Linked DNA regions of Lepisosteus oculatus. The protein of the gene in region 2 purifies or fractionates together with the protein of the main gene of each other region. This does not show direct contact. Links are inferred from orthologs where the notes say so. Each region holds a gene or a part of one and is shown on either strand. Other genes may lie near its edges.

What was found.
Region 1: the proteins of proliferation-associated protein 2G4 (region 2) and ncl purify together in Homo sapiens (affinity purification with mass spectrometry; 3 studies listed by BioGRID and IntAct, with this or other methods). This does not show direct contact. The link is inferred for Lepisosteus oculatus from reciprocal best matches to the Homo sapiens genes PA2G4 and NCL.

The regions. Positions count from the first base shown.
Region 1 is NC_090708.1:8,865,566-8,876,260, reverse strand, and holds the start of ncl (nucleolin), read right to left. Parts: upstream 4,995-10,695; 5' UTR 4,847-4,994; coding exon 4,829-4,846; intron 3,751-4,828; coding exon 3,646-3,750; intron 3,372-3,645; coding exon 3,263-3,371; intron 2,687-3,262; coding exon 2,573-2,686; intron 2,207-2,572; coding exon 2,081-2,206; intron 1,560-2,080; coding exon 1,443-1,559; intron 1,156-1,442; coding exon 1,021-1,155; intron 804-1,020; exon of another isoform or gene 730-803; intron 528-729; coding exon 372-527; intron 176-371; coding exon 86-175; intron 1-85. UniProt on the Homo sapiens protein: Nucleolin is the major nucleolar protein of growing eukaryotic cells. It is found associated with intranucleolar chromatin and pre-ribosomal particles. It induces chromatin decondensation by binding to histone H1.
Region 2 is NC_090696.1:14,665,349-14,676,334, reverse strand, and holds the start of proliferation-associated protein 2G4, read right to left. Parts: upstream 5,614-10,986; 5' UTR 5,495-5,613; coding exon 5,407-5,494; intron 3,350-5,406; coding exon 3,221-3,349; intron 3,028-3,220; coding exon 2,922-3,027; intron 2,375-2,921; coding exon 2,305-2,374; intron 2,206-2,304; coding exon 2,113-2,205; intron 1,993-2,112; coding exon 1,929-1,992; intron 1,672-1,928; coding exon 1,593-1,671; intron 1,373-1,592; coding exon 1,294-1,372; intron 1,054-1,293; coding exon 920-1,053; intron 544-919; coding exon 449-543; intron 270-448; coding exon 142-269; intron 4-141; coding exon 1-3. Other genes in the region: receptor tyrosine-protein kinase erbB-3, read right to left, coding at 9,268-10,148, 10,330-10,570. UniProt on the Homo sapiens protein: May play a role in a ERBB3-regulated signal transduction pathway. Seems be involved in growth regulation. Acts a corepressor of the androgen receptor (AR) and is regulated by the ERBB3 ligand neuregulin-1/heregulin (HRG).

The DNA.
Region 1 (10,695 bases), on a different chromosome or scaffold from region 2:
ACAAAACATAAAATTTTATGTTCTATCTTGGGGAACAAGGGAGACGTTCTGATTAGCTGAGCTGGACACCAAGATCTTTACTAACCTTCTTGCTCAGATTTTGCCTTCTTGGCAGGTGGGGTCTCCTTCTTTTTTGGCTCTGGCTTCTTCCTCTTCCCGGGAGTCTGAGCAGGCTCTGAAAAACAGTCCAGTTACACATATGTGGTCTCAAACAGGAAAGGCAAACAATCACAGCCGCATACATTTTCAGAACAACGTAAAGACAAAATAAGCGCTAACACAAGTTACAAACGGGCCTTTAGTTGCAGGTTGAGGTCCAGCCGTTCACTCCTCAGTTCTCAACACACTAGAGATTTGGGCTTTGAACTCACCTTCCTCATCACTCTCCTCGTCTTCATCGTCCTCTTCGTCGTCGTCGTCCTCCTCATCGTCCTCTTCTTCAGACTCCTCCTTTGCTTTCACCATACCAGCTTTCTTTGCCTTAGCAGCGGAAGCCGGAGTCGTGTCCATCTGCTCGACTTCTGAGTCTTTAAAACGGAATGAAAACCACAACGTGCTCATTTCCACTGTTCCACTGGACAAGTTAGTGCTGCCTCACTGGTACACTCTCCCCAGCCTCGCACCAAGCCCATACCAATCATCACACTACTTTAAATTCCACTGTCAGGAGCTTAAATGTCTGGTTTGACGGGAGATCTCTAGAAATACCACCCAATTGCATATTTTCAAGCACATCAGTATGGAAAAAAAGACATCAAGTACTCAACTCAGTATTAAGTCCCTTAATGCTCATCATATGTGCTTGCTGCAATTCCAACTTGCATAATCTGGTTGCAACCCTTTGTATAATCTTAAACACATACCGCTGGCAAACAGTTTAACATAGCTCAACATCTGCAGACCTTGCAACAAATACGTAAGAAGCCCTGCATTGTCGTGACAACTTATACATCCGATAAAGCCTGAAGTTTCTAGGTAAGACTGTCCTTCAGCTCTGAAATGTAACAAAACAACCCTCACCATCTTCTTCATCATCTTCTTCATCATCCTCCTCCTCTGACTCTTCCTTCTTGGCTAGGGCGGTCTTTTTTGCAGGGGTAGACTTTGCCTGAGTGGCCTTTTTGGGTGGAGGGGCCTCTTCCTCAGATTCTTCATCTGCACCAGGGGAACAAAAAGGTCAGAGCCTTCTTCTCTTAAACTCAGACTTGCATATTTAATCAACACAGAAAGCACAAACCCGCCGGAGAGCCAGGAACATCATATCTGGGGAAAACTCAAACCTTAGCCATTATTCCTTTAAATATTGAGTTTGCACATTTGTCCTAAAACTGCTTTCAACAGGTTCATTAAAAAAAAATCACAAGCAATTTTTCTGCATGCACAAAGCTTTTCAATAGCATTGAACTGTCCTCCACCTATGCAATTCCCACAAGACCACTCACCATCTTCATCCTCTTCCTCGGACTCCTGCTTCTTGGCGGGGGCGGCCTTTTTGGCAGGGGTGGCTTTTGCTGGGGTGGCCTTCTTGGGCGGGGGGGCTTCTTCCTCCGACTCGTCATCTGTGACAACAGAACAGGTTAAGAGTCTCCCGGGCTTCGGACCAGATACAAGGATTCAAGAACTTAATGTTCCTAAAAGTATAGCTTTCTGACGAGTGACAACTAGGGTACATCTGTGATCACCAGAAAGCACCAAACTGTTTCACTGCCCTCTGTTTCACTCCCTCTGAACTAGGGAGGTTCTAAAATACACAATGTGATTATAACAACTGCATTGTGCATTGAAGGCACACCTCTGTATTGGCAGCACCTTCAGGATATGGTAAGCCTACCGGGTTTCTGCATATCCACGATCCCACCCTCCTGTTTTGACTCCAGCAGAGCGCTAAGCTAACTGAACCACCGCCAAATAAAACAGGACCCAAGAAGATTTTAATTAAGTAAATCAATTAAGTAGCTTAAAAAGATCTGCAGGCGGGGAGGGAAGAGGCCATTTTTCCCTACACACTCAAGTGCCTTGGAAACTCAAGACCACCCCAGGCTATTAAACCCCCTCCCTGAATCACTGCACCGTCACTCACCATCTTCATCATCGTCCTCCTCCTCCTCGGACTCCTGCTTCTTGGCGGGGGCGGCCTTTTTGGCAGGGGTGGCTTTTGCTGGGGTGGCCTTCTTGGGTGGGGGGGCTTCTTCCTCCGACTCGTCATCTGCGACAACAGAACAGGTTAGGAGTCTCCCGGGCTTCGGACCGGCCCGAGCAGGTTTAAGATCAGGGCCCCGGCAGGGATGTCAGCGAGCCCCAAGTCAAGGTCTGAAGAGGGGTGGAGGCCTAGCCAGCAACCAGCCCAAAAAGGCCCTTCCTGGGGACAAATGCCACCTGGACAACATTTATATTGCTCATCTCTACCGAAGGGTCCAACAGCAGTGCTCCATCCAGGATCTAAAACCATGAACCCAGAGATCTAACTTCCTCTCCCCAGCTCCTTGCCAAACACTGGCGAGCCACCCTTGCCCTCTTAAGACTATTGCTGGGATGTTATTGACAGCTAGAAAGTCACCGTGACTGATCATACCATCGTCATCCTCCTCCTCCGATTCCTGTTTCTTAGCTTTGGCGGCTTTTTTCAGGGGCGCCGCCTTGCCCTTGGCGGCCTTGCCCTTGGCGGGGACTGGGGGGGCATCTTCCTCTGAAGAGCATCACATTACGCAAGAGTTAATCCAGCATACTGTACTCAGGACCAAATACAGGGGAATATCACAGCTGAAATTCCCCCGTTCAGAAAAAAAAAACATTTTGAACTAAAAGGGAATACCTCCCCCCCAATGCAAACCTCAGAGCAGTGGGGTTCAAAATATATTGTCCTTCTGGCTCAACAAAGGCAAGTATATCAGCTTCCTAAGCCTCTACAAAGAAGGAACAACTGAGTGGAACCATCTTTATACTCCACACAACACTTCAAAATATTAACTACGCTTCGTATAATAGTGATAAGTGTATTGCTGGCATCTAAATGCTGATTTAAGATTTGGGCATTTCCAATTCCTTAATTAACACTCACTGCAGCTAGCATCTTGTAGGTTAAGAACTAAATCCTGCCAAACACTGGCTTTTGGTTATTTCCGACATGGTTGACACCATTTTTAGAAACCTGGTGGTTGACAACAAATGCAACAGCCTCTGTCCAGATCTTTGCACTTCCACTTCACCCTATAACATGCATGGAGTGAAAGATGAAGGCTCCCAGACGCGTTTCATCACTTACCATCGTCTTCATCACTTTCCTGCTTCTGTGCCACTTTGCCATTTTTGGCGGCTTTCGTTACTTTAGCTGGCGTGGCTGCCTTCTTGGCGCTGGCTTTTGGGGGAGGTACCTGAAGCCGAAAGGAAAAAAAAAAAACATGATTCCCCTTTCTGCACAAAGAAATGCCCTTTGTTAAACCGGTATTGGGTTTCCCAGTCGAACCCCGTTTTAGGACACGGGTCACTGTCCAAAGAGACCTTACACCTTCCAGCGAAACCACCAACTCCAAAACAAGAGGGCCCGAATCGCACAAGCACGTGTAGGACACGACCTCCGGTTTGGCTCCACGCTGACACAGCGCGACCCTCAGCCCACGTGTTGCGGCGAGTCTCTGTCGCTCTTACCTCTTCGTTTTCCTCTTCACTGCTGTCCTCTTCTTCATTGGAGTCCACGTCTTTAGGGGGCGGTGGGGCCTTTTTCTTAGGGGTAGTTGTCGGTTTTTTCGCTGCCTAAAATAAGAAAAAAAAACCCACTTCATATGAAGCATGACTACCCAGCGGGGTATCCGCTGTTTATTCATAGGCCGCAAAAAAACTGTTTATCGCCTTGGGGTGTCAAAAAATATTGTAACCGTTTGTACATCGAAATAATTGTGTACTTGTATACGGAAAATGGTCGGGTCACCGGAAAAAAAAAACTACGCTTGTGTAGTACAAACCACCGCCGCCATGTCCCCTCCACAGCGTGCTCCCTCTCTAAGACACTATTTTGCTAGCATGTTTAGAATCTAAATTTCTCAAAATAGTTAAAAATAAAAAAGGTAATGTTCAGCACACAGCCTGCAATGTCCAACTACTAATGTCTAAACCGCTCGACGGACACACGTCGTGGTGACTGCGTGATGGCTCCACGCTGAAAACCCACGTGGTGCTCCGCGAGGCCTAGTCATATGTAACTATATCCAGCTAATACAAACCCGAAATAAACATAAATGGAAAAACTACATATAGCACGATCACGGTTCTAATCATTACCAGAAATAAAGCAATTAAGAAACAGTCGTCTGTTTCTTTCCCCACATCATAATATAAAAGCGCAACCAAATTGGAAAGTTCCTTTTTTTACCAAAATTGCAAAGCGCTCACGCTGCTAGGAGTTATATTTTACATTTAAGAGGAGTTACTGCTTCAAACAAGACCCAAATGTAATCAAGTAAGGCGATAAACCAAAAAAACAGCTTCCGCGCTCGCAGGCGAATGCGCAGGCATGGCCATTTTGAGAAACAAGAGTTCACCACGCAGAAAAACATGGCTGATTACTCGAAATCTGGGTCGGCTTGAACAGGCACCAAAACGCACTTCCATTGTGCTCCGTCTTTCATCCGGAAACTAATAACCCCCTACGTTACCCCCAAAACACGACTGCACCCGCATAATCATAAAAAAAAACATTCATCCGCTGCAAAAAAATGCTCGGGCAAGGCAAACCGAAAGGAACAAAATCTCACATCTCCAGTGCCATTTTGTACATCAAACCCATCGCCTCGAACTTTATATTTTGAAATCGGCGATGAAAATCACATCTTACCTTCGCCAGTTTCACCATCTTGACTGTCTGCGGGGTTGTTTACTCGACTAAGATCGATCGGGAAAACGAAAAAGCTAATGCAAGTTTTAATCACTGCTCCACACGTGGCCTAACCCTGCTCTTCGGTGAGGCGCTGAGACGAGAAAGACGGACTCGCAGGAAGAAGCGCGAGGTGCTTTACTGTTGTGCGCGTTCCACCTTCCACGCCCACGTGTTATTTCTTGGCCAATCGGGTCGCAGGAATTTGCATCGCGCTCGGCTTCTGGGGTTTTCGTGAACGCGCTTGTCCGAGCCCTGAAGAGACGAGAGTGGATTTAGTTAGTACTGCACAGTATTCGTAATATGTATTTTTAGTGTGAAATTTGTATAGGTGTATACTCGTGTCTGGATTGATATAATTTGTTTGTTTTTTTTAAATAAAGAAACATATTTTTAAGCTTCAATTTCATCGAACCATTTGGCATTTAGTTGAAACTATGAATGAGAAAAAAACTTCCAATTTAAATACGATAAAACCTGTTAAAATATTAACTTTTTTTGTGTACTGGACTTCTCGGTGGATTGTACCGGTATCTCGAGTTCCGTTCACAGCCCATTAAACCTAAAGTGCCGGCCACCCATGTGACTTTAAAGTGCACATGAGCTCTAACAAGTTTTTAGTGATACTTCAAAAACACAAAGTAAAAACGCAAAGTGTAACATACATAGGAACGGCTATTCTTTTCAGTAAATACATAATATCCACCCGCAAGCAAATCCCATTTACAGACACCCAATGGGAGTGAAACAGTGGCGTCCCATGTGCTTCTAGTGTTTGGCCACCACGTGTTTCAAAATACACCCATTTTAAATCGATCACGGACAGAGGGTAGCATGGCTGCACAAAACAGGGAGCCTTGAGCTTCAGAAGTACAGTACGGCTTGTAAAGTTTTCTTTTCCCGAAGGTATTGTATTAGTGAAATGTTCTAAAGTGATTGAAATGTTTTGATTTTGTGAAATGTCTGGTATTGGAAAACAACGAGTTTTAATGCGGGGTAATGGAAGAAGGAGGGCGAAAAATTAAAATACAGTGGTTACAATTTAATGCACATGAATTATATAGTTTCACGATATTACTATTCAGTTGTTTTTCTTCCAGGAAAAAAAAAACTCATTCAACACGAGGAGGGGATGCTCACCGAGATTCAGGGCATTCTCCTTGTTATTTTTATATCTACCTTAAGGTCTAACGTCAAAAAATAATGACGATAAATATAAGACAGTCTTATAGAATACAGTTTAGCCTTGTAATGTAGAATCGAATTAACGTGCACGGTGATCTGCTAAATAAAACAATACCCACTTTTATATACACAAATGAATCAATGCATGAAATACAAGAAGAATATATATGAGCAGAGAGTTTTGAGTCATGGATAGCTACAGATCGATCGGGTAATTTATGTGGTCTTGGTAACACGAAAATCTGAATTTTGAGGGGAAAAAAAAGTTTCTCACAGTCCTACATTAAATCACCAAGTCAAAATAACTGGACCTCCATCATCTGTCATTGTGACCACGTCTTTTTGTGTGTAAAAATGACTGCAACAGGGCAGAAATTGCTGGCGGTAATGATCGCTGTGGATTTGAGAGTTCTGGTTTCAAATCCTTGGTTTACGCTGCTGTTACACCCCGAAGAAAGGCCCTTCGTTTAAATCGCTAATGGTTCTTGAATTACCAATGTACTTAAATTCAAACAATCGAAATGATAACCGGAACAGTAGGTCCACTTAATGGATTAGAACACGTGTAAGGTATACTTGGGAGAATAAAAGATAAGGTCGATAAAAAAATGTAGTAGAAATTAATACATTAAAAGTAAATAGTATCTAAAGGTGACGTTTGGACAGATGCATTTTGAAGATTTGGAAAAGTATTGACGTAAACAGAATATCAGCTTAGATACAAATTGAAATGCTCACGGTCCTCGATTTACATTTAGCTTAATTGTACCTGGGTAAGACCCACAAGAGGGATAGCACAAGCTACATAACGTTAGGCAGGCACTTTAGTGACGGTAATGTGTAAAACCAATGTCAAATGTTCAGACGTACAAAATGAACTTGTTTGCATTTACTGCTTTTGACTGAATATATAATGCATAATGTAAGGCCATCAGCGTTTTGGTCATGTTACCTACTGTAACTCTCTAAGCGAAATCATACCGCAGCAATATGGCTGCCCTGTTACCTTTCCGGGTGTGAAAACGTGTAATATAAGAAGGGATATCGAAACTCCCTACCAAAAGCCTTGACATGAAATATCGCGAGAGTTTGATATCTTCGTCATGACGTTCGCGGGACCTTGAAAGAGCGAGATTTGGTTGGACGATTTGAATGTGGCGAGGAAACGGTGTAGAGGTGTACAAACCTTGCGCTATTGGTAAACCTCCCCAGTCCTAAATGCCTGAATCGCTATCTGCGGGGGAGAAATAACCCAGCGGCTGTTATGTAGGAAGTGTTAGTCAGCAAGGATTTTTAGTTGTCACCTTCTCCTTCAAAGGAGAGTCACGCTGTGAATTCCTGGTTGAGAAGCCGCTTTCGCTTATTTTAAGGTTAAATAGTGTATCATTATTAAATCATGGCGTTTTGTTTATATTAATCCTGTACGAAGAATTTGGTGTTTGATTATGTCTAGGTGGTCTTCAGATTCCTCCAACGGTTGCGGTACTATGTTGGAGTAATGTATGTAATTCTGCTCAATGAGCTTGGTCTGATGTACTGGGCTCAACGGTTAGAAGCAAATTTAACATCTCTCAAGAGACCACCAGGTGGCGCTAATTGACGACTGTTTATTTTTTTAATAAAAAACTATTTTATATAGCGCCTTTAAAGATGACTTCTCAAACCGCTTTTCAGAACGACAACAACAATAAAAAGTACACAAGAAATGCACAATGAGAGGAGCCAGTAGATGGTGGATATTGAATACAGTAGGAGCAGAGGGGTAAAGAACAGAAACAGTTAAGTAAAGTAAAGGCACTTCTAAAGAAGAACGTTTTGAGTTTGGATTTGAAGGAGTTTAGAGAAGGTGACTCTCATATTCTTGGGGATAGAATTCTAGAGCTTGGGGTTAGAACAGGAGAAGGCCCTGTCACCCATAGAGTGTAGACGGGCTTGGGGGACAGTTAGGAGACCAGAATTAGAAGAGTGAAGGTTGCGAGGTGGGGAGTAGGGCGATAATAGCTCAGACAGGTACTGAGGTACCAAGCCATGCAGAGCCTTACAGGTGAGCATGAGTATTTTGATGTCGACTCGAAACTTGACAGGAAGCCAGTGCAAGGACTCCAGGATAGGAGTCATTGGACCTGGTCAATGTGGATTTAGAAACCCCAGCGAGTAGAGCATTACAGTAGTCAATTCAGGAGAAGACAAACGTGTTGATCAGCTTTTCAGCTACAGTAAGTGATAACATAGGATGTAGTCTGGTGATATTTTAGAGGAAAAAGAAGGATGTTTTGACAATATATTGCACATGTGGGTCAAATGTCAAGCCTGAATCACATATCACCCCCAAGATTTTCAATTTAGACTGAAGTTCAAGTAAGAACTTTTTGTGAAAGTACATTTAAACTAATCCATTCTGTTGGGATACAGTATATTTCCAGGCACTTTTTGTTTTTAAAGTGAAAATTGAGTTAATCGTGTATTTAGCTCTTTGCATCTAGATGCATGGACAGTTTCCATTAAAGCAGCACATTTAAACATCCACTGGACATATCAAACAAATACATCAGGTTGTACGTGGTGAGAGAGATAGATCCAACTTGCTCTGCGGTGAAATTATTTAATTGTTTTTATGAGCTTTTCATATCAACTAAACACAAAAACCTAAAAATTATTAGAGTTTAAAAAATCTAATAATAATTGCTTACACTTATATAGTTCTTTTCTGGGCACTCCACTCAAAGCACTTTACAGGTAATGGGGACTCCCCTCCACCACCACCAATGTGTAGTCCCCACCTGGATGATGCTGTCAGTGGGGAGGAGCCAATTCATAGAGGGGGATTATTGGTAAGGGCCAATGGGAAATTTGGCCAGGACATCAGGGTTACACCCCTACTCTTTTCGAGAAACGCCCTGGGATTTTTAATGACCACAGAGAGTCAGCACCTCAGTTTTACATCTCATCCAATGGACGGGGCCTGTTTACAGTATAGTGTCCCTGTCACTATACTGGGGCATTAGGACCCACGTGGACTGCAGGGTGAGCGCCCCCTGCTGGCCCCACTAACACCTCTTCCAGCAGCAACCTTAGTTTTTCCCAGGAGGTCTCACATCCAGGTACTGACCAGGCTCACACCTGCTGAGCTTCAGGGGGTTGCCAGTTTGAGTTGCAGGGTGGTATGGCTGCTGGCATCAGCTTATATACCCAAAACTTTGTTGTGGGGAAATTATCCAGACATTATGAAATGTTGTCTTGAAGATTACAAACTTTTTTATTTGTCTCAAAAAGGTTTGGAAAGATATCCTGTTTGTATTATTGTGATTTCTTCCAAGAACAATATGAGAGGTAGTGTTTCCGTTGCTGTTCTTTAGAGACTAATTGCACGTCTATTACAGCTTAATACCACAAGAGGGCAGCAGTGTTTCACAAGCTACACTAGTTTAGCGCCCCATGATCCTTACCTTCGCAGTATTTGTCGGGTTCTTCAAATAACTGTATTTCAATGTATAAGTTTCAGTTCAATCTAGTGTATTTGAGAAAATTATTGTCTCAAAGGGTGCATCCTGTTTGCAGCAGGATTTTTCTTAATAACGAAATTTATTCAAGTTTCCTGCTCTACATTTACATACAGTTATAAAGATGTCTTTTCTATGCTACATTCATATTTTTAATAACAAGTGTCCTTCCTAAAATGGTCTGAAAATTAAGATGAGACCCGAATTTCCAATGACCTCTGGTCTGGACATGAACTGATGTAACAAGTTAGGGTGAATTAGCAAGAACAGATTTAAACATTAATGCTACCTGGAACAAATGTAACCAGGCCTTGACATTGCTGGTTTTTATGTTGGTGCCATGATGGACATCCAAAATAAAAAAAGCTCTCAGAGATTTAAAAGCATGCACTGAACCCACTCCACTACCTGCATGCTTCAGAACAACTCCTTGTAGTGTAGCCACTCTGTTTGCCGGGAAATTACTAACTCCATATTTGTTTTGTACACCTGGGATCAGAGTACCTTTGCTCAAGGGGCAAAATGTATAAAATGTATAAGAGAGAAGAAGATCTTGTTAAACTACAACGTCCCAAGAAGCTATGGGGAGTCACCTGCTGTCCTCAGTCACCTGACCAATGCCTGGATGACCATTGGTTAGGTGACATTTTAAACCAGGCAGCTGAGACTTCTGGGATGGCTGTCACCTTGTGCTGTACATGAGGGAAGAAGAGCCTCTGAGATATGGTGGATCGGAGAGAGAGGGAGAGGGGATCAAAGAAGCAGCTGAAGGATGAGGAGTTTTGCGAATAATTTCAGAGAGAGATCTAGTGTAAGGTAGAGGGTTTGGGGAACTTTGAGTTATGAGAAGAATTGTTTGGAACAGTGTTGGTGGAAAAAAAAGGAAGTGTAGATGGACCTCAAAGAAGAACTGAGTTTTTTGCATGTGTGTTTTTTTTTTCGAGTTTCTTAGTCTGCAAATAAAAGGTGACTGATTTTTTAAACCTTTTTTGCCTATGACTCCATGCATATGTCTGTTGTTTTTTAAGTCAAAATCCTCTCACACATCCTGCTCACAGGTCTGTCACAAATACCACCAGAAGCCTTTACACCAAATGTACAGAGCTGTCAGCTCAGGACAGGGTAGTGCCCATGGACTGGAGA
Region 2 (10,986 bases):
CGCCTGAAAGGGGGACACAGAATGGGTGTCAACTAGGCTGTGAATGGAGGAGCGTCACCTTGTCCAGAGGAAGGTACCCTCTGCCGTGTGTGCTCCACACCTACTGCCCTCGGGCTGACCTCTGACCTAGTGCCCCCTCACCTTGAGCTCAGGGTCCTGCACCTCGTGCTCCGACTTGTACAGCTCCTGGTCGAAGGGCCCGCTGGTGATCCTCATGGGCCCGTTGGGCATGAGTAGCACTGTGAACTTGAACTGGGCCACGTTCTCCCCTGGGAGAGAGGGAGGCAGGAAGTCAGCATCATCCGGCTTCATGGAAGGAGGAGAGGCCATACAGTCGCGCATCTGGACTCTCTTAGAAACAGACATCTGAGGGAACCAGACCAGAGCCCGCCAGTCTGAGACGGGCTCAGCGTGGGGATGCTGGGCCGCATGAGCGGCGCACACTGACCTTCCTTCTCGTACAGCACGTTGAAGGGCTGCAGCAGCTCGTGTTTGGCGCACTCCACCACGCCCAGCCGCGCCTTCCCCTCGTCCTCAAATGCCCTGAGAGAGAGAGAGAGAGATCAGAGGACAGCGAAGGGAGCGGTCAGATTCCCTCCTCGCGGTCAATCAGCAGACTGGACTGTTCTTTATTTCTCTGATGTCCTGCAGATTGCTCAGTCTCACATGGGTCCTGCTCACTACCTGCTGTCTGCTCTTGTCTGTGGCTGTGCTGTAATCAGTTCTGCCAACATTAGGGGCTCCCTGTTGAGGGGGCATGTGAGCAGCAGGGAGGAACCGTGAAAGAGACCAGAAAAGCGAGGAATGAAAGGAGGACAGAGAGGAGAGCTCAGATCACTCCCAGCTCAGTAAGTGGGGGCCTGTTTTTGGGGTCCTCCAGCCCGGCCCAGCCCACCCCACGCCCCCCGTGTGGCACTACCGGAGAGTGAAGGGCATGCCGTCGAAACGCCTCTCCACCTCGCTGAAGAACACGCGCGAGGTCTTCATCTTCAGCCCGTACTGCTTGGTTGGGTCCCGCTTGTAAATGGTGGTCCTCTGGCCAGCGTCCCTCGCCTGTAACAGAGTCAGACAGCAAGACTGAGGTCAGCGGCGAGACAGACAGGGACGCCTTACAGCCAAGTGAGAAAGACTGCTTACGTTCCTGCTGTATTATTCATTTTTTCTCCCGTTTAGATTTCAATGCTACAAGGCTACTGGCCGAATCATCACTGTACATGTCATTTGTTTTCAACCATGCAATTAAAGAATGAAATGCAGGTATCAGAGCAAAAGGAAAAAGACCATATACCCTACCTTCCCCTCTCCGGTGCTGATCAGCACGTCCACAGCGTACACCTCGTGCACCTCGAACTCCGCCTTCTCATGATCCTTCCTGCGGACGGACACGCAACACAGCCAATCACAACACGGGCACAGCGCGTCAGTGTCCTCGTCCAGCCAGCGTGGCAGGAAGTGGGGTTGGTGGGGGGACGTTTCAGAGTTACACACTTCTGAGAGGGTAAGGCACTCAGTTGAAAGCACTATGCCATCACACGTCATTTAACAGAGAAGATGCTTCGGTACGACCAGAAAAGCAGCTGACCAGGGCTCACCTCTGCTGATCTGAAGGGTTCTGAATGATGGTCTTCTCTCCATCAATAACGTGCTGCTTCAGCTGGTGAGACAGCATCCCTGCGAGGAGGATCAAGAGGGGAAAAATCAGAAAACGACCAAGCTCCCAGGAGACCTGCCGCTGAAACAGACACAGCAGTGACCAGCCGCACTGCCTGCTGGTCCTGGGAAGCGTGCGAAAGGCCCCCTGGCACAGGGCAGATGAGCAGCGTGGGGCACTGTCGGGGAGAGGGGTGGGGGGGTTCTGAGACACTTCCGGTGCAGAATTAGCAACTTCAGCTCGTCTCTCCAGGGTGCCCCAGGTGGGTCACACTCACCCTCGATGGCCGTGCATTTGAAGGACTGTGCAATCTTGTTCCAGGCCTCTGTCACCTGAGTGTTCTGGGAAAGAGAGGGAATCAGCACATGAGGAACTCGGAGAAAATGTCAATAAGAACGATTTCTTTTGCTCACTTCAGAACCCCAGAACTGCCTGCGGCCCGGGGCAGTCGGCACACCTACCTGGTTGCCGGGCTTGACGAGACGCAGCGCAGCCTCAGCGCACAGATGGGCCGCTTTGATGACGTCAGCCTTGCGCCCCGTCACTGGGGCCTCCTGCAGAGGGGCCGGACGAGAGAGGGACGAGAGGGAGCGTCAGTGAAACAGACGGAGCAGAGACGGACTGGGCACAGACACGGGGGGCGAGAGACCCACCTTAGTCGCTCCCACGACGAAGCTGTGAGCCACGTTGGCAATGAAGCCGTCAACATGGACACCCAGGTCACTGGGGACAGGAGAGCAACAGGCAAGGAAGCGTTAGGGGTCATGTAGCGCTCTGACAGACTCTCAGGCACAAGCACTCAGGCACAAGCAACACAACCTCTGGGCCCCGCACACACACACTACACAACCTCTGGGCCCCGCACACACACGCTCCCACACTGCACAACCACTGGGCTCACACACATACACACACGCTTCCACACTACACAACCACTGGGCCCACGCCCACACACACTACACAACCACTGGGCTCACACACACACGCTCCCACATTGCACAACATCTGGGCCCCCCACACACACACGTGCGTGCATGCCCACACAACACAGCCTCTGGGCCCCATACACAACACAACCACTGGGCCCACGCACACACACACGCGCGCGCGCATGCGCCCACACAACACAACCACTGGGCCCGCACACACACCACACAACCTCTGGGCCCTGCGCGCACACACATGCTTGCGCCCACACAACACAACCACTGGGCCCGCGCACACACACGCACACAAACCAGAGCACAAAGCAGGAGAGATGCAGACTCACATCTTGACCAGGTCTCCCTCCTTCAGCGTATAGTCAGGGTCGCTCTTCAGTGGGGAGAAGTGGCAGACACAGTTATTGACGGACACACTGGTGGGGAAGGCAATGCCTAAAGAGAGAGGAGAGGCGGTTACTGTCATGCCACAGGAACAGAAAACCCCACCTGTACACCCAGCCATCACTTAAACCATCCCAGAGATTCTGCTCTGTAGTTCACGCTTGTTCCACGCACCCACCACCCTCGGGGTAAAGAAGCGCCTCGTGAGCTGAGGCAGACACGCTCGTCCCTCCGCCGCCCTCACCTTTCTTCATCTCTTTCTCCTTCTTGAAGATCTTGCCAGTCTCCTCCATGATGAGGGCGTCCCCCTTCTCACAGAGAGCCAGGACAGACACCCCGGGCTTGGCTGCCTCCACCACCTTCCGGAGGGCCTCTGAGAGACGACAGCGGGACAGGGCATCAACAACAGCACTACTGACACAGCATCAGACAGGTGCTTGAACACCCGCAGGGCAGACACAGCCAGAACATATCTGAACGCAAGTGCTCCACCTGGAAGGACATGTCTGGCACTCTGCTGGGACTGACCTGGAAGTGGAGGTGGATTCTTATTCACCCACATGCTGGGTGTTTCATTAATTAGACTGTAACTGATGCAGACAAATTAGTTGAAGTAAAATTACATATTTTTCTGATAATTTGAAACATCTTAAAATGGCATAATCTGGACTGGAACACACTGCTGTGCACTGGGAGTCTGGCTGACAATGCAGTAAACCCTGGACTGCAACACATTGCTGTGCACTGGGAGTCTGGCTGACAATGCAGTAAACCCTGGACTGCAACACATTGCTGTGCACTGGGAGTCTGGCTGACAATGCAGTAAACCCTGGACTGCAACACATTGCTGTGCACTGGGAGTCTGGCTCACAGTGCAGTAAACCCTGGACTGCAACACATTGCTGTGCACTGGGAGTCTGGCTCACAGTGCAGTAAACCCTGGACTGCAACACATTGCTGTGCACTGGGAGTCTGGCTCACAGTGCAGTAAACCCTGGACTGGAACACACTGCTGTGCAATGGGAGTCTGGCTCACAGTGCAGTAAACCCTGGACTGGAACACACTGCTGTGCACTGGGAGTCTGGCTGACAATGCAATAAACCCTGGACTGGAACACACTGCTGTGCACTGGGAGTCTGGCTGACAATGCAGTAAACCCTGGACTGGAACACACTGCTGTGCACTGGGAGTCTGGCTCACAGTGCAGTAAACCCTGCACTGGAACACACTGCTGTGCACTGGGAGTCTGGCTCACAGTGCAGTAAACCCTGGACTGGAACACACTGCTGTGCACTGGTAGTCTGGCTCACAGTGCAGTAAACCCTGGACTGGAACACACTGCTGTGCACTGGGAGTCTGGCTGACAATGCAGTAAACCCTGGACTGGAACACACTGCTGTGCACTGGGAGTCTGGCTCACAGTGCAGTAAACCCTGCACTGGAACACACTGCTGTGCACTGGGAGTGTCAACATGTTGCATTTCTATGGTAGTGTTCAATCTGATCGAATAACCCAGTGTCTGCAGAATTCATAAGATCTACAAATGCACATTTAACGCACCCCGGTAAAACCAACAACGTTATTATTGCAATTCCTGGTACCCGGGCTGGGAAAAACAGAAATTATAATGGTATACTGTGGGACTCGCTTTGAAAGGCGCTATATCAGCCTCCAGGACATAACGGACGGCTTGTAAACCAGCACACAGGTTAAGCACAGAGGTCGGCGGCGGGATCGTACAGGGGTACAAGGGTACCCCACAGAGCTCGGGTCTGGGGCTCCCCAGCCCCTCGTGCTGACTAGTTCGACACGTGAGGGAGTCACAGAGACACGCGGCGGTACACCTGTCACTTCTGTGCAAATAAATGGCTCGTTTCCTACTCGGACCCGTGTATTTTTAAATAAAACGATTTCGCTCACCGTCCTCAAGCGAGTGGATCGACCGGTCATTTAAAAATCCAACACGTTAACATAATGAGCTACTACAACAGATGCGCGTGTGTGGTTACAACACGGAATGGGGCACGGAGAAAACTTAAAATTTTCAACCGATGAGCCACAAAGCGGATTATTCTAATTTTTCTTTACCGCGATGACCAATAATTACTCTGTACTGAGCTTTACATGAGTGAACTAAGAATATCAACCGGCAGTTTCAAACGGCAAGCGAATATCCGTTTTGTTTGAACATAATGTTTTAATCGCCTGTCAATATGGTAAAAAAAAGCAAAGCCAATACGGGAGATTATAGCCTCCGTCGGCTTCAGGCCCTGCAATCGCTCTGTCTCTCCACACGCTTCTTTAAGGCACATGGCCGCTACTAGACTCAAGGCAGGCCGGCTGTTTCGGTCACATCGGCATTTAAAGGCAGACGAAACTACCCCAAACCGTGTTTTCCCCTCCGCTGAACCATTTCTGTGAAACTTACGGTTGGCGATGTCGCCTCCCATTTTGTACTTGGTGACCACCAGGTCCTCCGCGATGGTCTGCTCTTGCTGTTCGTCGTCTCCGGACATCTTTCGTCGGCGGCTCTCCAACGCTTCTCTCTCCCCGGTGTGTCGGCGGCGAGCTCAGTCTGGCAGACAGCTCGACCCCGCGGCTCCGGCCCGGCCTCCACCGCGCGTCACCAGGCCCGGCCCAACCGCCAAAAAGAAAAAAAATAGGGGGCGCAGCATCACGGTCCTGCTTGTAGTCTTTTTTCACCTCGCTCATCGGGAACATCTACATGAATGTGGGATTGAAAAAACTACATTTCCCAGATATACGTTCGTTCTGCCTTAGTATTACAGTCTGCTTTTTTTTTAAAAGAAAACGAATGAGATGCGTCATGCTCGTGGCGCCTTGTCCCCTGGGAATCTGGGAATTGTATTTCATTCCGGTGTGAGTTTGCGTGAATTGAATTATAAAGTCAGTTTCCTTTAGTTTCAAAATGTGCCCCACTGCGACGACTCTCGCCGTGAAAAGCTGAGTAAAATCAATGGATGAATATGACCCACTGCTTTATCGTACAGTGAAAGAAACACACAATTTCAATTCAATTCAAGGTGCTTTATTGGCATGACCAATGAGTACAATCAGTGTTGCCAAAGCAAAACAGATACAATTAACATAAAACCAAAATCTACAGACATTTACAATAAAGACACAATCCTAAAATGTTTACATATAGACATATTGAGCATAACTGGGAGACAGACTCACTGTTCCTCAGGCTGTGACAGAAGATCACATACTGGACTGCCAGTTCAACTGAGTTCCCTTCTCTAATCTGAATGTTTCTCTAATCCCAGAATATTTGTCCAGGTGCAGTAAGACTTGCACCTCTGTCTCTGTTTCTCCCCGCTGGCAGTGGGAGCACAGCCTGTCCTCTCTGGGCAGCCGGGTCTGCCTGTGTCGCCCAATTTCTATGGCCAGGCTGTGGTCACTGAGCCTGTACTTCATCAGGGTCTGTTTCTGTTTGCTGTTATGTATCTTGGTTAGATATTCGGCTAGTGTGTATTGTCTATTTAGGGTTCTGTAGCAACAGCTGCAGTAACCTGGCTTTCCTTATAATAATAATAATAATAATAATAATAATAATAATAATAATAATAATACAAACTTTACTCTATATAGCACCTTTAAAGGTGCACTGGGAGTCTGGCTCACAGTGCAGTAAACCCTGTGGCTTCTCAAACCACTTTGCAGATTGACAACAACAAAAGAAAAACACAAGATATGCACAATAAAAATACACAATGAGAGGAGACAGTAGATGGGGGTACAGAATACAACAGGAGAAGAGGGGTAAAAAACAGAACCAGTTAAGTAAAGGCTCTTCTAAAGAAGAATGTTTGGAGTCTGGATTTGAAAGAGTCTAGGGAAGGTGACTCTCTGATATCCTTGGGGATGGAATTCCAGAGCTTTGGGGTGCAGCAGGAAACGGCCCCGTCACCCATAGAGTGTAGACTGGTTTGGGGGACAGATAGGAGGCAAGAATGAGAAGAGCGAAGGATGTGAGGTGGGGAGTAGGACGACAGTAGCTCAGACAGGTATTGAGGTGCCAAACCATGCAGAGCCTTATAGGTGAGCATGGGGATTCTGAACTCGACACCAAACCTGACAGGAAGCCAGTGCAAGGACTCCAGGATAGGAGTAATGTGATCACTAGCACAAGATCTGGCCTGGACTCTGCCCCAACTACTATCTCATCTTATTGTATATTTTCAATTTTAGACATACTGGAGTTTGTGAGTTAGAAACCCCAGCGAGCAGAACATTAAAGTAGTCAATTTGGGAGAAGATAAATGTTGACCAGCTTTTCAGCAACAGTTAGCAATAAGATAGGACCTAGTTTGATGACATTTCTGAGGTGAAAGAATGATGTTTTGGCAATATATTGCACATGTGGGTCAAACATCAAGCCTGAATCAAATATCACCCCCGAGTTTTTCAATTTAGACTGAAGTTCAAGTACAGTGCCATCCACACATAGGGTTACAGCACTGGCTTTACAAAGTTGTTGTGAGGTGCCAATAAGAATGATGTCCGTCTTGTCACAGTTTAAATGAAGGAAGTTTGGAGTCATTCATGTTTTTAGGTCAGAGATGCAAATAGAGAGAACAGAGACAGCCACATCAGTGTGAGGTTTGGTATGGACGTAGATCTGAGTATTGTCAGCGTAGAAATGATAGTTGAGGCCGTGCGATCCTAAAAACTGACCAAGTGGGAACATGTAAATACTGAAAAGTAGGGGGCACAGTATCGAGCCCTGAGGAACACCAGATGCAATGAGACCAATTTTAGAGCTAAAACTGCCGAGATAGACAAAGTGACAGTGATCAGTGAGGTAAGACTCAAACAAATTAAGAGCAGAGTCAGAAACTCCAAACACAGGTCAAGACGAGAAAGTAAGATATCATGGTTAACAGTGTTGAAACAGGATTGAAATAAGGTGGTGGGGATGGGATCTAAAGGCAGGTGGTGGATTTCAAATGTGAGCAGGGAGAGTCAAGTAGAGAGAAGTTAGAGAGAAGGGAGCCAGTGAAGTTGGGCAAGCAGGGGGGAGGTGTGGAGGTGACATGCGCCGTGGAGAGAGTGTGATGCCAGGCATTGTCAATCTTGGAGCTAAAAAACTAAAAATGTGTTGCAGAGTTGGGAAGAGGCAGGTAATGTGGTGGGGCAGTCTGGCTTTAGCAGTCTGTTGATGGTGGAGAAAAGGTGTCTGGGGCTGTTATGGTAATGTGAGAGAAGTAACTGGATCTAGCAGACTCTATCATATCCTTGTATTCAGTCCTTGTATCAGAAGCCTCTCATCCTGGGACTGAACAGGGCCGGCCTAGCCGAGCTTAAAAGTAGGGGTAGTAGCTGCAGGATTGTAACTCTGCCAGAGGGAACACCCAGAGTGGTGGTGTTAGCAGCCAGCGATATCTGTGCTGCAGTAGGACAGAGGTGTCAGATCCAGTAGCAGCTGTGCATTCATGAGAGAGGTGCCTAATCTGGCAGTGGCGGCAGCAGCTGCAGTAGTGATACACTAGTAAGCATTAAGAAATCAAACACAGTCAAAATTAGATGCATCTTTATGTTGCTTTTTTAAATCTCTTATTCAATACAAAGATGGGATTTCAAAAATACAGTCTATTTTACAGTACAACAGAGATAGAAATACAAATAAAGAAGAGCTATATCATTTTGTTCATGTGAGAATCCATACAGTACAGACCTCTCAAACTGGCCAGTTTATTAGGAACACCATCCCATCCCTTCTTAAAAATACACTTCATTGGGTTGCGGCGCACAGAGCTTGGACAGACCGCAGGCTCAGCACGGCTACTGCCGCGTACACCGGACACGCCCCAGACATGCCCAGACACACCCCAGACACGCTCCAGACATGCTCCAGACACACCCCAGACACACCATGGACACGCCCCAGACACAGCATGGACACGCCCCAGACACAACCGGACACGCCCCAGACACACCCTGGACACGCCCCAGACACAGCCGGACACGCCCCAGACACACCCTGGACACGCCCCAGACACACCCCGGACACGCCCCAGACACACCCCGGACACGCCCCAGACACACCCTGGACACGCCCCAGACACACCCTGGACATGCCCCAGACCCACCCTGGACACGCCCCAGACACACCCCGGACACGCCCCAGACACACCCTGGACACGCCCCCTACATGCAGACACCCCACAGGCATGATCGGGGGGTCCAGTCAGAGTGGGACCAGGGGGGTGGCCGGTCATGACCCAGAGCGAGGACGACCTCTCTGGTGCCGCTCTGCAGGCCGCTAGGTGCGCACGGCGTCGGGCTTCAGGAAGAGCCTGCTGTGCCAGTAGTCGGGGTTGTCGAAGGAGCGGTCAGCGCCTGGCTCCCCCACCCCGGCCCTCACCTTCACGAAGCCCCCCAGCTCCCCGGGCCGGCCCCTCCTGCCCCCCTCCGCCAGGTTCTGGTACTCCACCAGGGGCAAGGAGTCCATCTGCTCGTACTCGTCCGCCTCCCCCCGCAGGGCCTTCCTCAGCCTGGGCTGCTTGTTCATGTACTGGTAATCTTCCTCCTCCTCTGCGTCTCCCTCCTGCTCGTCCTCCCCTCCCTCTTTATCACCCCCCGCCTCCTCCTCGGGTTCCACTCGTTTCTCTCCGTCTTCTGCAGCTGCAGCTCTGTCCTCCTTCCTGCCTACGCAGTCCCTGGAGCTTCGACAGTCCAGCTCCTCGCTGCGGATGTCCATGTATTCGTACTCCACTGCTTCCTGCTCCTGCTGCTGTTCCGATCCTCCGTCTCCTTCCTGCTGTGACTCGCCGCCGCTGTGATCGGGGCTGACGGAGAGCTGCCTTCTCCGTTTCTGCACTCTGTCTCTACCAGCAGGAGGTTGCCGGTCATTACAATCCAGCAGCTCATCAGACTCTCTGTCTCCACCAGGTGGCAGATCCTTGGCACTGCACTCTGGGCTGGGCTGGGACTTCCTGTGCGGTTTCTGGTCTCTGGCGCCCTCTGGTGGGGGCTCAGCGGTACTGGCCACTGAGGCAAGAGGCAGCAGGCGTGTCTGTTTGTTCATGTACTCGTACTCCTCCGAGTCAGGGTCTCCCAGAGTCCCCAGGGAGCCACGACTGTGGGAACCCCTCATTCTGGACAGGGTGCCAGTTTGGGAGGGTGAGAGAGAAAAGATGCTGGCTGTGGACAGTAAAAAAGAAGAGGAAGAGAACAGGAGTTAGTAAGTTATTACTCCAGGACACCATTGGCCAGACTCAGCCCTTGAGAAAACGTTAAGCAAATAATAAACTAATTCAAGACCCGGGTAGTGAGTCTGTCAGCTACACACACTCCCGGTTCACACCGCTGTCTGGGGGCTCACCTTTCTCTGGGCTCTCCAGCGACCCCGGCAGGACGTATCCATAGTGGTCCTCTTCCTCGGCGGCGCCGCTCAGGCTGACGTGGTGCGAGAGGTAGGCGCTGTCCTCCCGGCGGCGCCCCCGGCGCAGGCTGCCGCCCAGCGAGGCGTCCTCGCCCGCCTCCGTGTCCGGCATCGTGCCCCGCCCCTCCGAGCACTCCGAGATCGTCCGAGCCGAGTTCAGCCGTGAGCGTGCGGGCCAGAGCTGCGGAACACAGGAGAACTGGGTTGCTTGTCCGACTAGTGAGTAGTAGACTAGTGACTAGTGAGGCCTCGTGCACGGTCACTGATTACTGCAAGCGAGTGACTTGTTAGGGAAGCCTCGTGCATGCTCACTGAACACTGCCAGCGAATACCGGTAAGGGAGGCCTCGTGCACGCTCACTGAACACTGCCTACGAGTGACCAATGAGGGAGGCCTCATGCACACTCACTGAACACTGCCCGCGAGTGACCGGTGAATGAGGCCTTGTGCACGCTCACCGAACACTACCAGGGAGTGACTGGTGAGGCCTCATGCATGCTCACTGAAAACTGCCAACAAGTGACTGGTGAGGGAAGGCCTTCTGCACGCTCACTGAACACTGCCAGTGAGTGACTAGTGAGACCTCGTGCACACTCA